Stegostoma tigrinum: one gene and its partner. The protein of the gene in region 1 purifies or fractionates together with the protein of each later gene. This does not show direct contact. Links are inferred from orthologs where the notes say so. Each region holds a gene or a part of one and is shown in the gene's direction. Other genes may lie near its edges.

The links.
Region 2: the proteins of polycomb group protein ASXL1-like (region 1) and UDP-N-acetylglucosamine--peptide N-acetylglucosaminyltransferase 110 kDa subunit purify together in Homo sapiens (affinity purification with mass spectrometry; 3 studies listed by BioGRID and IntAct, with this or other methods). This does not show direct contact. The link is inferred for Stegostoma tigrinum from reciprocal best matches to the Homo sapiens genes ASXL1 and OGT.

What each region holds. Positions count from the first base shown.
Region 1 is NC_081372.1:26,306,986-26,314,840, reverse strand, and holds the start of polycomb group protein ASXL1-like, read left to right. Parts: upstream 1-4,850; 5' UTR 4,851-5,234; coding exon 5,235-5,291; intron 5,292-7,855.
Region 2 is NC_081368.1:40,714,688-40,722,230, reverse strand, and holds the start of UDP-N-acetylglucosamine--peptide N-acetylglucosaminyltransferase 110 kDa subunit, read left to right. Parts: upstream 1-4,534; 5' UTR 4,535-4,874; coding exon 4,875-4,911; intron 4,912-7,543. UniProt on the Homo sapiens protein: Catalyzes the transfer of a single N-acetylglucosamine from UDP-GlcNAc to a serine or threonine residue in cytoplasmic and nuclear proteins resulting in their modification with a beta-linked N-acetylglucosamine (O-GlcNAc).

The sequences.
Region 1 (7,855 bases):
TAGTGCTGAGAAGGTGGGGAGACTTCGGAGAAATGTGTACAGATTAGGAGAGTGGGCAATGAAGTGTCAGTTGGAATTCAAAGTAGGGAAGTGTGAGGTTATGCATTTTGGTCGGAAGAACAGAAGCATACACTATTTTTTAAATGGGAAAGAGCTTCAGAAATTTGAAGTACAGAGGATCTTGGGAGTTCTAGTTCAGGATTATCTTAAGGTAAACACATTGGTTCAGCTGGCAGTGAGGAAGGTAAATAAAAAGTTACATTCAATACAAGAAGGCTAGAATACAACAGCAGAGCTGCACTACTGAAGTGTCTGGTCAGACTGCTTTTGGAGTATTTGTGAGTTGCTTTGAACCTGTATTTAAGGATGTGCTGGTGTTGGAGAGCTTCCAGAGGAGGTTCACAGAATTATAGAACATAGAACATAGAACAGTACAGCACAGAACAGGCCCTTCAGCCCACAATGTTGTGCCGACCATTGATCCTCACGTATGCACCCTCAAATTTCTGTGACCATATACATGTCCAGCAGTCTCTTAAATGACCCCAATGACCTTGCTTCCACAACTGCTGCTGGCAACGCATTCCATGCTCTCACAACTCTCTGCGTAAAGAACCTGCCTCTGACATCCCCTCTATACTTTCCACCAACCAGCTTAAAACTATGACCCCTCGTGCTAGCCATTTCTGCCCTGGGAAATAGTCTCTGGCTATCAACTCTATCTATGCCTCTCATTATCTTGTATACCTCAATTAGGTCCCCTCTCCTCCTCCTTTTCTCCAATGAAAAGAGACCGAGCTCAGTCAACCTCTCTTCTTAAGATAAGCCCTCCAGTCCAGGCAGCATCCTGGTAAACCTCCTCTGAACCCTCTCCAAAGCATCCATATCTTTCCGAGAATAGGGCGACCAGAACTGGACGCAGTATTCCAAGTGCGGTCTAACCAAAGTTTTATAGAGCTGCAACAAGATCTCACGACTCTTAAACTCAATCCCCCTGTTAATGAAAGTCCAAACACCATATGCTTTCTTAACAACCCTGTCCACTTGGGTGGCCATTTTAAGAGATCTATGTATCTGCACACCAAGATCACTCTGTTCCTCCACGCTGCCAAGAATCCTATCGTTAATCCTGTACTCAGCTTTCAAATTCGACCTTCCAAAATGCATCACCTTGCATTTATCCAGGTTGAACTCCATCTGCCACCTCTCAGCCCATCTCTGCATCCTGTCAATGTCCCGCTGCAGCCTACAACAGCCCTTTACACTGTTAACGACACCTCCGACCTTTGTGTCGTCTGCAAACTTGCTGACCCATCCTTCAATCCCCTCATCCAAGTCATTAATAAAAATTACAAACAGTAGAGGCCCAAGGACAGAGCCCTGTGGAACCCCACTCACCACTGACTTCCAGGCAGAATATTTTCCTTCTACTACCACTCGCTGTCTTCTGTTGGCCAGCCAATTCAATTATCATGGGAATGAATGGCTTGTCATATGAAGACTGGCTGACAGCTTTGTGTTTGTACTTAATGGAGTTTATGGGGATGAAGGGTGATCTGATTGAAGCTTACAGGAGGTTGGTTAGAATGGGTACGGAGAAGATGTCTCCAATCATCAGAGATACTAGCACCTGAAGATACAGCCTCAAGTGTGAAGGGATGATACTTTAGAATTGAGATGTGGAGGAATTTCTTTCAGCCAGAGAATCGTTAATCTTTGGAACTCAGTGGCACAGAAGGCTGTGGAGGCCAAGTCATTGTGTACATTTAGGAAAGTGATAAAAAGGTTCTTGATTATTAGGGGGATCAAGGATTTATGGGGAGAAGGCAGAAGAATGGGGTTGAGAAACATGTCAGGCACGATTGAAGGGTGAAGCAGACTTGATGGGCTGAATGGCCTAAGTCTGCCAAGTCTGCTTCTACGTTTATGGTCTTATGGTCTGATGCAGCTAGAAAGTTTGAATTCCTATTATCTAAGATATTCTAGTTTTCAATTAGACCAAGGCAAGCAAGGTATATTTTGGAATTACTGTGGAGTTGGAGATGGGTAGAGTTATAACATTTGAAAGGCATCTGGATGGGTATATGAATAAGAAGGGTTTAGAAGGATATGAGCCAAATGCTGGCAAACAGGGCTGGGTCAGATTGGGATGCCTGGTCTGCACGGATGAGTTGGACTGAAGGGTCTGGCTTATGTGCTGCATCACTCCATGTTTACTCTGCACGTGGGTGTGCTTTTATTGGCAAAGGAATACTCAATGCTGACATTGAAAATTAAATTAAAAAATAATATTCCACAGTACTACAGACCAATTTATAAAAAAGAATAATGAATCCCAATGTTAAAAATATTTTATTCGTAAACACTGTTCCTGAATCTTTTCTAGTTTGATTCATCAGTTAAATTGAAAAAGGAGTTTATTGCATGGTGAAACGAAACTGAAAAGATCAGGGACTTTTAGGGATTAAAAACAGAATTTTATTTATTAAATAAAACTATAACAAAATACTAAAATATAACATTTGAAGTCAGCTCTGCTTTCTCTCCACAGATGATGTCAGACCTGTCGAGTTTCTCCATTAATTTCTGTTTTAATTTATATACCTTGTTTTCAAGGTTCGCACAAATATTCTGGATGAAGATTAATGTTTTTGAAATCCAGGTAAACACTGCTCCCCAGACAATAAAATGTGAGGCTGGATGAACACAGCAGGCCCAGCAGCATCTCAGGAGCACAAAAGCTGACGTTTCGGGCCTAGACCCTTCATCAGAGAGGGGGATGGGGTGAGGGTTCTGGAATAAATAGGGAGAGAGGGGGAGGCGGACTGAAGATGGAGAGAAAAGAAGATAGGTGGAGAGGAGAGTGTAGGTGGGGAGGTAGGGAGGGGATAGGTCAGTCCAGGGAAGACGGACAGGTCAAGGAGGTGGGATGAGGTTAGTAGGTAGATGGGGGTGCGGCTTCGGGTGGGAGGAAGGGATGGGTGAGAGGAAGAACAGGTTAGGGAGGCAGAGACAGGTTGGACTGGTTTTGGGATGCAGTGGGTGGAGGGGAAGAGCTGGGCTGGTTGTGTGGTGCAGTGGAGGGAGGGGACGAACTGGGCTGGTTTTGGGATGCGGTGGGGGAAGGGGAGATTTTGAAGCTGGTGAAGTCCACATTGATACCATTGGGCTGCAGGGTTCCCAAGCGGAATATGAGTTGCTGTTCCTGCAACCTTCGGGTGGCATCATTGTGGCACTGCAGGAGGCCCATGATGGACATGTCATCTAAAGAATGGGAGGGGGAGTGGAAATGGTTTGCGACTGGGAGGTGCAGTTGTTTATTGCAAACCGAGCGGAGGTGTTCTGCAAAGCAGTCCCCAAGCCTCCGCTTGGTTTCCCCAATGTAGAGGAAGCCACACCGGGTACAGTGGATGCAGTATACCACATTGGCAGATGTGCAGCTGAACCTCTGCTTAATGTGGAAAGTCATCTTGGGGCCTGGGATAGGGGTGAGGGAGGAGGTGTGGGGGCAAGTGTAGCATTTCCTGCAGTTGCAGGGGAAGGTGCCGGTGTGATGGGGTTGGAGGGCTTGGGGACCACTTTGCAGAACACCTCCGCTCAGTTCGCAATAAACAACTGCACCTCCCGGTCGCAAACCATTTCCACTCCCCCTCCATTCTTTAGATGACATGTCCATCATGGGCCTCCTGCAGTGCCACAAGGATGCCACCCGAAGGTTGCAGGTACAGCAACTCATATTCCGCTTGGGAACCCTGCAGCCCAATGGTATCAATGTGGACTTCACCAGCTTCAAAATCTCCCCTTCCCCCACCGCATCCCAAAACCAGCCCAGCTCTTCCCCTCCACCCACTGCATCACACAACCAGCCCAGCTCTTCCCCTCCACCCACTGCATCCCAAAACCAGTCCAACCTGTCTCTGCCTCCCTAACCTGTTCTTCCTCTCACCCATCCCTTCCTCCCACCACAAGCCGCACCTCCATCTCCTACCTACTAACCTCATCCCACCTCCTTCATCTGTCCATCTTCCCTGGACTGACCTATCCCCTCCCTACCTCCCCACCTACACTCTCTCCACCTATCTTCTTTTCTCTCCATCTTCGGTCCGCCTCCCCCTCTCTCCCTATTTATTCCAGAACCCTCTCCCCATCCCCCTCTCTGATGAAAACGTCAGCTTTTGTGCTCCTGAGATGCTGCTTGGCCTGCTGTGTTCATCCAGCCTCACATTTTATTGTCTTGGATTCTCCAGCATCTGTAGTTCCCATTATCACAAACACTGCTCCCCAAACGTGCTCATTTGTCAACATTCTCCTCAGGCACAAACATGATCAAGCTCCGCCCAAGGTGTCAAGTGGGTCACATCGCCGCAGTGGCACCGACTGCCACCAGGCGGCGGTAGGTGCTCGGGACAGCAGCTGACGGGTCTGCGCGGCATTCCACGGGCGCTCGGGCCGATGGGAATTGTAGTCCACTCTGCGGGAGGCGACCGTCGCAGGGAAAGGGAGCTCGGGCGCGAGTGAACTACAACGTCCGTAATGCATCGCGGTTAGGTTATTGTAGGGGGGAAATGGGTGTGACTAGAGGCCTGGATTGGGGGGGGGTGCAGAAACAAATAGAGCGCCACTCTCAGCCCCCAGAGCGGTTGTTGGAGCCGATCTCCCTCCGCCCCCCCCCAGCTTGGTTAGCGCCAGGGCCTTGTCCGCGCTTATAAAATCATAAATAGGTTTCGGCGGCTGCTCCTTTCGACTGTGCGCCCTTTTCTTTGTACACGGCGTCGTTGATTGAAAAAAATTAATAATAAAACCGGTGAGGGCGAATGGGGGAGGGGAGGGCGAGCGGCTGATGCGGCTAATGACGTCAGTTGCCCTTTGGCCCTGTTTTCATGATGGCCGTTTGCGTCGTTTAGAAGCCCCGGGATCTGCGGAGTGAGGAGAGAGAGAGGGCCGTCCCGAACCGTCCCGTCCCCCCACCCCCTGCCTCCGCCACCACTACACAAAAACACACACACCCACCCATAGAGAGAGAGAGAGAGAGAGCGGGATCGTGCGGAAAACATCGAGCTCTGGTTTTGTTTGCGCGTGTGATTTTTTTTCTCTCGATCGTGTGATTATTTTGTTTGCTTTGGCCTCGCCGCCTTCTGTCCTCCCTCCCTTCCCCCGCGGAAAAAAAAATCATCACTATCACCACCAACAACAACAAAAGGACAGGGAAGCGACACTCGAAGGGGGAAAAAAAGATGAAAGACAAGCAGAAGAAGAAGAAGGACCGCACGTGGGCTGAGGCTGCCCGCATGGTAACTAAGAGCCGTTTGAGATTTTCATTCCCCCATTCAGAACCATCTGAAATGGGTTCATGACCCGATGGGGGGCGGGCGTTCAGCGCTGGCTCCTCTAACAATAATAATGTGGCAATCAAAATTCATCCAGCACATGTTTATCCTCTGTGTGAGTGTGTGTGGATGTGTGAGTGTGAGAGAGATTGTGTCCTGGACGTGTAACCCAACAACTAACTCGCGTCTCTCCCCAGTGCTTTTATTATTTTTGCTTTTAAAAATGTTTATTTTTTTTCCTTCTTCCACCCCCCTGCACAAAGATTGCAGCAGGTTTTGGGGAGATAATTGCATGTACTTCTTTTGCATGTGGTTGGTTTATATGAGGAATACATGTAGGCATTTTAATGCGCATGATGTAAATGCTTACCCGTGACATGGTGAATCTCAATTATTCATGTGTGCATTTTTTCGCTGTTGTTAGACATTTGTATAACGAGCTCATTTTTGGTGTCAGGGAGGAAGGTAGCTCGTAAGCTATTAAAGATACTTTCCCTTATTCTTTGTGTCCCATAATGTGGTGAAATTTAATATGCATTGCATTATTGTAGCCACTGATCCATTTTTCCTTTGGCTTTCTTTGTCTTTAAGAAGCCCATAGTTATACAGACAAGGATTCTTAGCTATAAATGAATTACATACTGTGTACTGTAACTGGTTGAGTTACGTCTGAGTCTTGTCTCCAGTGTGATCATCATGGCATGCTCCCAAGTTGTGAAATTTTGCTTTCCATTTAGCTCTGTTTATGTTTCCATTTGCACCTCTATCATGTAATTTTTTTGAAAATATGCACCTTGTAGAAGTAAAATTGATTGGAATTGCTGACATTTTTAAAAGCATTTATGATTTTTTTTGGTATCATAATTTTGGCCCATTGATGTTGATCATAAAAGCCCTATCTTAAGATTGGGTGGCATGTTTTGTTTTGCCACATTATGTTGTCAATCTGCCTTGGTTTTTTAGTGATTTTACTTTGTAGAAATTTATATACTGCATCTGATCATCTAAACAATTCATTGAGTATCGTTTTGAAAAACTTGGAGTTTAGAAGTTTCAAATAAAATATACAGGTATTGAATAGTATCAGCAGTTACTGTTCATTAAATTAATAGTCTTGGTGCTAAACATTTTAAGTAGCAGGATTGCTAAACATGAATATTGGTTGTCAATTAGGTTGCAGTAAGCATACACTTAGCCTTTGAAAAAAAGCATCCCACTATACTGTAGGTTTTCTAGAAAATTTTATAGATCAGAGTAGTAATTCAATATTTACAACTGTTGTGCTAAAGCTTTTATTTCCCTAACCTTAGTATAGCATCAATTTCAAGGAACCCTTTTTTAATGTTCAGCCAAACATTGGTTACCACTGTGGACCTTATTTAAAGCAGCAACCAAATGTCATTCATTTACTGTACTTTCAAAACTGCCTTATTATCATCACCTCATTAACAATCTAGTGAGTACTCTTGTATCACATAGCTGGAAGTTTTATTGATAAATTCAGTATTTAACTGAGAATGCATTGTGATACTTCTGAGGCAGCAGGAATCGTTTGGCAAAACCAATCATATCTGCAAGTCAGTAATTTCAGTGTCCATCATTTTCAGCATGATGCTTTTATTACCCTTGTCTAAGTCATAATATGATCTAATGGAGAATCCTAGAATCAATGAGTATGTGCAAGAGGCTAAAAAGAAACAACCATCTGTCTTAACTGAAACTTTGCTTGTTTTTTTTTAAGCTTCAAGGAGCAACCATGGTGGAGCTCTTCTGTTGCATCTTTGTTAGGTATTTACAGTTGTCTTATCCTTTTCCTTTCTTTAGGGCAAATGGAAATACAGCATCGGGCATGCATGTGAACACTACTAACTCTACCACAAAGACATGCTTTTGTTTTTTTTACTCTGATGTCTGCAATGGCATCCCTTTCTTTTCAGCTGCTAAAACTGGTTTTGATTGGAATTGCTGCCCATTGCCACTCGTTCTCCATTTCATTTCCTGAGATGACAATGGTAGCCAGTTGCTGTGAATAATAGCACCAGTGTCCAACATGGTGACAGACGTTAAGTTCATTGTAGAAGCTTTGAAATATTTAGTATATTTTTTTGAAAACAAACATCATTTACGTGCTTCCAAAAACTGTGTTTTACACCATTACAGTGGGCTTTGCGTATCACTGGGTTGGATTTAGAGTGGGCAGTTTATTTTCATAGTAAGAAATTCTGACACTGCCTTTTGTGATTGATACCTAAAATCAGGCATTGTTTAAAAGTGCTGCTGCCATTGAACTCATTTTTCTATTGTATCCTAAGTTAGGCAATTTATTGTTTTATAGTTTCAAAATCTAACATTGAAAACTTGAGCTGTATTTCTGTTACTTTGCAGTTGACAGCAATGATGGAAGTTAAGTGTGCTGACCACTTTTGATTTACATGAAGTTGAGCCAGAATTAGCTATCAAGTCAGGGCTAATGGTACTAAAGGTTTATAAACAAATTATACAGAAAGATCAGGAGGGAGGAAAAGAAT
Region 2 (7,543 bases), on another chromosome or scaffold:
TGATTCACCCTGTCTGGCCATCTTGGTATACAGGACAGTTAAATAAAGTTGTATCTGTGATATCTGTTGTCTGTGTCCTTAACCCTGCAAACAATGAAAGTTTGTTGCGTTTCATTGTTAACATAAATGACAGGTTTTTTTGTCCATATGACATTTGGAAAATGCTTATATTGGGATTAGTGCATCCCTTCAAAATTTCAGCACAAACATTTGGCACTGATGCTGAGGTTTCACTCAGAAATCTAATATACAATTTTGCTTCAGCCTGCAACTAATAATACACCGTAGGAGTGGTGCAAAGAAGAATTACTGCTATGCTGAATTCATCTCTGCTTACCTTGAATCTGTCCTCCCGACCCCCCCCCCCCCCAAAAAAAACACCTCATCTTCGGTGTGGTCATCCAGTCCCTATACACTTTTATCCCCCACACAGATGACCTAAAAGTCCTCTGCTTCTTCATCTCCCGCAGGCCCAACTAGTCCCCCTCATGGGCCCAAGCTATGCCTGCTTTTTCATAGGATACATGGAACAGTCCCTTTTCCACTGTTACATTGGCACTATCCCACCCCCTTCCTCTGCTACATAGGTGACTGTATTGTGCTGCCTCATGCTCCCACAAGTAGTTCAGAAAATTTATTCACACCTTTCACCTGAACCTCAAATTTACCTGGTCCATCTTCCCTCTCCATCCTGGACCCCTCTGTCTCCATTTCTGCCTCGAAATTGACATGTATTTCAAGCCCAATGAATCCCATGGCTATCTAGACTACACCACCTCTCACCCACCCTCCTGCAAGAGTGCAAACCCTACTCCCAATTCCTCTGCATCTACTCCCAAGATGGAGTGTTCCACTCCCAAACATCCCAGATGTCTTCCAATTTCAAGGCCCGCAACATCTCCACCCCAGGCCCCCCCACCCCCCGTGATCAAAAATGCCATCAACTGCATCTCTCACATTTCCTGGACTTCTGCCCTCAAAACCCCTCCCCCCTCTCCCAACAAAAATACAGAATTCCCCCTTCTCCTCACCTATCAGCCCACCAACCTCCACATCCAGTGTATCACGTTCCACCACTTCTGCCACCTACAATCTGACTCCACAACCAAAGAGATATTTCCCTCCCCACCCCATCTGCTTTTTGTGAGGATCGCTCACTGCAGCTCACTCGTCTACTCCACATTACCCACTAACCCCACACACCTGGCACCTTTCCCTGCAACTGCAGGAACTCCTGCACCTGCCCTAAACCTCCATTCAAGGCCCAAAACAAACCTTTCATATCAGACAGAGGTTCACCTGTACTTCTGTCAACTTGGTCTAATGTATCCATGGCTCCCGCTGTGGCCTTCTGTACGTCACAGACCATTTCGTAGAGCATCTGCACGCTGTACGTGACAAATGACAACACCTTCCAGTCACCAACCATTTTAACTCCCCTTCCCACTGAAATGTCCATCCTGAACCACCTCCAGTGTCACAATGACACTATCCACAAACTGGAGGAGCAACACCTCATTTCACCTTGGGAGCCTTACAGCCCAATGGCCTAAACACAGAATTCACCAGTTTTAAAATCTCCCCACCCCAGGCTTCAAGCCATGTCTGACCCTCCCTCTCATCCCTGCTGCCTTGACCTGACACAACCTGTCCACCTTCTCTCCCACCTAGCCACCACTCCCTACCTACACTCACCTATCACCATCCCACCTACCTTCCCCAGCCCAATCGTCCTCTCTATCTATTTCCCAGCTCCCTTCCCCCTCCCCATTTCTGAAGAAAACATCAACTTTCCTGCTCCTCTGCTGCCTGGCCTGCTGTGTTCCCTCAACTCCACACTGTGTTATCTCTGACTCCATCATCTGCGGTTCTTGCTATCTCTGTTACTCCTACACTAAACTCTTCGCTGCCGTTCACTGTTGTTTTGTCTGTACCAGCAGGAAAGAGTGAGGGACCATAAGCAAGCACAGCAGTAGGGATAAGTTAAAGAGAGGGTAAATGCTAGTAAACACTGTCCAGACTCCACCTGCAGCTACTCGATTACATACAGAGCTGATCAGTCAGTGTTTAATTTAAAATTCAACATATTTTACTTGTTGACCATACTCAATTTGTGCTGCCCTTGCAGATGCATCAAAATATGTTCCCTCAGAAAATGTCATTATTTGTCATGGATTTCACAAAGTCCAAGTACATAGTTAAATGTCGTGAGCCTGGTTTGGACTTAGCAAATTGAATGCAAGAAGGTTGATTCAGGTTCAAAGAATTGAAGATAGAGTGAAAATAAATCACTGATTTGCTTTGTACTTAATTGATGGGTCAAATGACAGCATTCTCTGAATACTTGGCAGATTTGGGAGTAGTAGGGAGAGAGAGTCAGTGTATGAGAATGATAACCTGTTATCACAGCGTGTAACATGCAATTCCTACATATGTCTGTATCCCATAATGACAGCCTACAAGGCCTCAGTTTTTTTCCTCTCAAACAGACCCATCCAGACCCCTCCTCTGCCTAGCCGAACTAGTTCTTAACCTAAATAACTTTTCCTTCAATTCTTCACACTTTCTCCAAATCCACAGGAGTGTTGCATAGGCCTCAGCTGCTGCTGCCTCTTTGTCGGTTATGTTGAACAGTCCCTCTTCAGTACATACACCGGTACTGTTCCCCAATTCTTCCACTGCTACATCAATGACTGCATCGGTGCTACGTCCTGCACTTGGTGAACTGGAGCAGTTCATTGACTTCGCAAACAACTTCCACCCAGCCCTTAAATTCACTTGGTCCATCTCAGATACCTCCCTCCCATTTCTCAACCTCTCAGTTTCCATTTCTGGCATGTTTACGGACTGACATTGACTATAAATCCACAGACTCTCACAGCTACCTCGACTGCACCATCTCCTATCTGTATCCTGCAAAAACTCCATCCCGTTTGCCCAATTCCTCTGTCTCCATTTTATGTGCTTTGATGAGATGTTCCATTCCCAAGCATCCAGGATGTTGTCTTTTTTCAAGTAATGTTCTTTTCCCCACTCTCATCCAGATAGCCCTCCACCTTGTTGCCTCCATTCGCCGCTCCACAGCTTTAAACCACCACCTCCCAAAACATCATAAAAATAGGGTTTCCCATGTCCTCACTTTCCACCCCAAGAGCCTCTGCATCCAACATATCATGCTGAAACACTTCCGTCAACTCCAATTAGATCCCACCATCCAAAAAATCTTACATTCCTCACCCCTCTCTGCCTTCCGCAAGGACCATTCCCTTTGCCGCTCCTTAGTTCACACCACACTGCTCACTAACCACCCCAAACCCTGCCCCAGTACCTTCACCTATGACTGTAAAAGATGCAACACCTGTAAACACCACCTCCTTCACCTCCAGCCAGAGCCCTAAACAGTCTCTTCCAACCTAGTCTACTGCATCCGGTGCTCCCAATGTCGTCTTCTTTAAATCGATAAGACTAAATGTAGCCTAGGTGACTGTTTCACCGAGCATCTTGACCTAGCCTATAACGGTCAACCTAACCAGCCAGTCACCATCCACTTCAACTGCCCACTCCTGTCCTACTCTGACGTGCTTTCTCTACCTCCTTTGGTGTCACAATTCAGAAAGCAAATCTGAGGAACACCATTTTATCTTCTGCCAGGGCACCTACAACCTAGAGGACTGAACACGGTTCTCTAATTTCAAGTAACCCTCCCACCCATCTCCTGCCACCTCTCTTCCAACCACTAACTGCTTTGAACCCTCCCATTAACAAACTAGGTCACACCTACTACTACTGCCCATCTATCACCACCAGTTGGCTGGACCCACACCCCCACCCCCACCCCACCCACGCCCCCACCACATTTAGTCACGTGTAAGATAAAATAATACCAACATGATTTAAGAAAACTTATTATTTCATTATAAATTATCAGCGATCACAAGAAATTTCGTACCAAAATCACTTATGTTAAGACCCTGCTTTTAACATTATAAGGCAATATAAATATAGGAATTAGTGGGCAAAATAATTTGTCACATCCACTCAAATAACAATCTTTTTTATAACATGCTTCGCATCGCTTCAGGCCTTGACGTTGCATTTATACTCATACGCTGAACAAGAGCGACGAGCGACATACTATAACTGCTTAATTTTAAAATAAAACACTTTTATGTTTCATCACACCCTTTAAGGCCACGTGGCTCTTAGTTAACTATCACTAATTCTTAAGATAGTCACGATCATCGTTCCAGGAACTCACGTGAACATTCTCGACTTTTCCACAGAATGGTTTTTAAGCGCATGCGCTTCCATCCCCACAGCCGCCGCAATGCTGATGCGCAGTGATACCCTATTGTGATTCATTGATGAGTGCAGTACACGTTTTAATGTCTGGTCCTTCCGCGAGAGTCCTATGAATTTGGAAAGCTGTCCGAATTTGAAATATCTAAAGGAATATGCGTAATGACAACTCAATAAAGTTACAAAGCTCTTCCGATAAGACTTGCGAATTATGTCGTTTCTGGAATTGTGATCGGGTTTTTATGAGTAGAGAGACTCTTTGACGCGAAAGTAGTCCCGATTAGAATTCTCATTCCGGGCGCCATCTGCACACCAGAGAGAAGAGAAACTGAGTTGACGGCCGACAAACGCGCGATGTTCATTAGCAGCAGTAAATATTTCTTTTTGTGAAATTTCACACAAACTGTGGTGACGAAGGCAAATTGACGTGAGGTTGCCGCGATCGACTGCGTTAGAATATTCAGGCCTCGGCACTCAGCCATCGATTGACTGGGACAGTGACACAAGCGAAACCCAGTTAAAACCTGCCCCGAAAGAGGAAGCGGCTTGGATTGAGCTGCACCCCGAACGAGAGCATGGCGGCGTCGGTTGGGGGTGTAACAGACAGCACAGGTGAGAAACATAGAAGGGGAGTATCGATGCAGATTCGGCTGGTACCATTTGATTGTTATGAAATGAAACCCGAGATTTGAAGTAGAGTGGAGCAGTTCCGTCAGTACAAATCCGGTTGAATCCCCGGAAGAGAAGGAAACGCGTAGGAAAAGCATGAGGCCGACTTGCATTTTTCCCCCCGCTGTCCTGTGTGGGATGTTACGACCCAGATTACTTAGTTGAGAGTACTGCTATTATTGTGTATGAGAACCGGTCAGATTAGTGTTCCTTTGGATATTGTTTATCACAATGATGCATACACAAAGGTATTCATGCGTAAAGAAACCAAGTCAATGGAGGAAGGAAAAAAACCTGGCTGGTGAGTTTCGGTGAGATCAGTGTCATGAAAGCGTAATTAATCCAGCGCAGAAATCGTAACATGGATCAGTACAACTGGGTATGTTGGCCTATTGGCCTAAGGATTTTTGAAGCGGCCAATCAAGTTTCAATATACTTTGGCACTTTTGAACAGTCTCTTGTTATTTGCTAACTTTTAAGCATAAATGATTTTAATTAAAATTTGACTTACTTTATCAATAAGCATAGAGTCTGTAAAATCACACATCATCCGGATGAAGGGTTTAGGCCCGAAACGTCAGCTTTTGTGCTCCTGAGATGCTGCTTGGCCTGCGGTGTTCATCCAGCGTCATGCTTTGTTATCTTAGTCACTGTGTGTGCTTGGTCCGTATTCTTCCAAACATTTCGTATTCATGTACTGACCCAGGTGGCTTTTAAACACTAACTGTATCTGCATCCATCTACTTCTTCTAAAAGGTCATTCATGCATGAACCAATCTGGGGGAGGGGAAGGGGGAGAAATAGCCCTTCATGTCTTTTATTTTTAACCTTTCTCCTCTCGTCTTAAAAATGTGACCCCCCCCAGTCTTGAAATCCCCTGGCTTAGGGAAAAGACAAGTTGCAATTCACTTCCTCTGTGCCCTCATGATTTTATAAACTTCTGTATGGTTCCCCCCCCCCCTCACCACCTGTGGTAAAATGGTAAAAAGGTAAAAAATCATAGCTTATTCAGCCTCTCCAATAACTTAAACCTCTGTTCCTGGGAATGCACTGGTAAATCTCTTCTGAACCAACTCCAGCTTAATAATATCCTTCCGAGAATGGGGAGACCAGAACTGGCACAGTACTCCAGAAGAGGCCTCACCAACATCCTGTACAATCTCAACATGACATCCCAATACCTATATGTGAAAGGTCTGAGTGATGAAAGCAACCATGCTATATATCTTCCCAATCACTTTATTTATGTGATGCAAACTTCAAAGAATTATGTACCTGAACCCCTAGGTGTCTCTGTTCTGCAATGCTGCTACTTGGCCCTACTTTGAATTGTATAAGCACTGCCCTTGTTTGTTTTAGCAAGATGCAAAGTCTCACATTTATCCCGCTTAAACTCCAGCTGTCATTCTTCATCCCATTGTCCTAAGTGACTAAGAGCTCTTCGTGACTTAGATAGCAAGTGACCACTACAATACCAATCTGGGTGTCATCTGCTAATGTAGTAGGCTGCTTCCTATATTCTCATTTAATCATTAACAAACAGAAGTGGACCAAGCATCAATCCCTACGGAAAAGGGCTGGTCATAGGTCTCCCATCCGTGAAATGTCCCTCTGTCTGATGTTAAACGAATTTTGTATCCAATTGGCAAGCTCACCCTGAATCCCACATTATCTAACTTCACTAATAGCTGAGCATATGGTCAGATAAATAAATGATCGTGGTGTGAGTGCACAAATGGGGTGGAAAAGGGAGAGTTTGCTACCGTCAGCATTATTCAGCTGTACACAGGGTTAAATGGGATTAGTATCTATTGGTAAATGTAATTCAGCATCATGGGGCTCAGTGGGTAAACACTTTACCTCACTGTACCAGAAACCTGGGTTTGATTTCAGCCTTGGATGACTGAATGTTGAATTTGCATGTTCTCCCATGTCTGCATGGGTTTCTGTCAGGCCCCACAGTCCACAGATATGCAGGCTAGGTGGCTCAGGTGTGGTAAATGTGGGATTATGAGCACAGGGTGGGGTGCTGTTCAGAGGGTTGATGCAGACTTATTGGACTGAATGGCCACTTTCCACATTGTGGATATTCTATCACTCTTAATGTAGAGGCAACATTTCCTGACAGTGTATTTTTAGACAGCAAGGTAGTCATGTAGATACAAAAATGTCATGTTTAGGATTTTCCGCTCCAGAGATTAAAACCATAAGACAGAGGAAGAGAATTTAGGCCGTTCAGCCTATCGAGTCTGCTCTGCCATTCAACCATGGCGGATAAATTCCTCACCCCAATCTCCTGTTTTCTCCCTGTAACCCTTGATCCTCTTGATAATCAAGAACCTGCCTATTGCAGCCTTAAATGTACTCAGTGATTTGGCCTCCACAGCCTTCCGTGGCAGTGAATTCCAGAGGTTCACCACTCTCTGGCTGAAGAAGTTTCTCCTTATCTCTGTTCTAAAAGGTTTTCCGTTTACTCCAAGGCTGTGCCCTTGGATCCTAGTCACCCCTACCAATGAAAGCATGTTCCCAACGTCCACTCTATCCAGGCCATTCAGCATTCTTAAATTTTAGGATT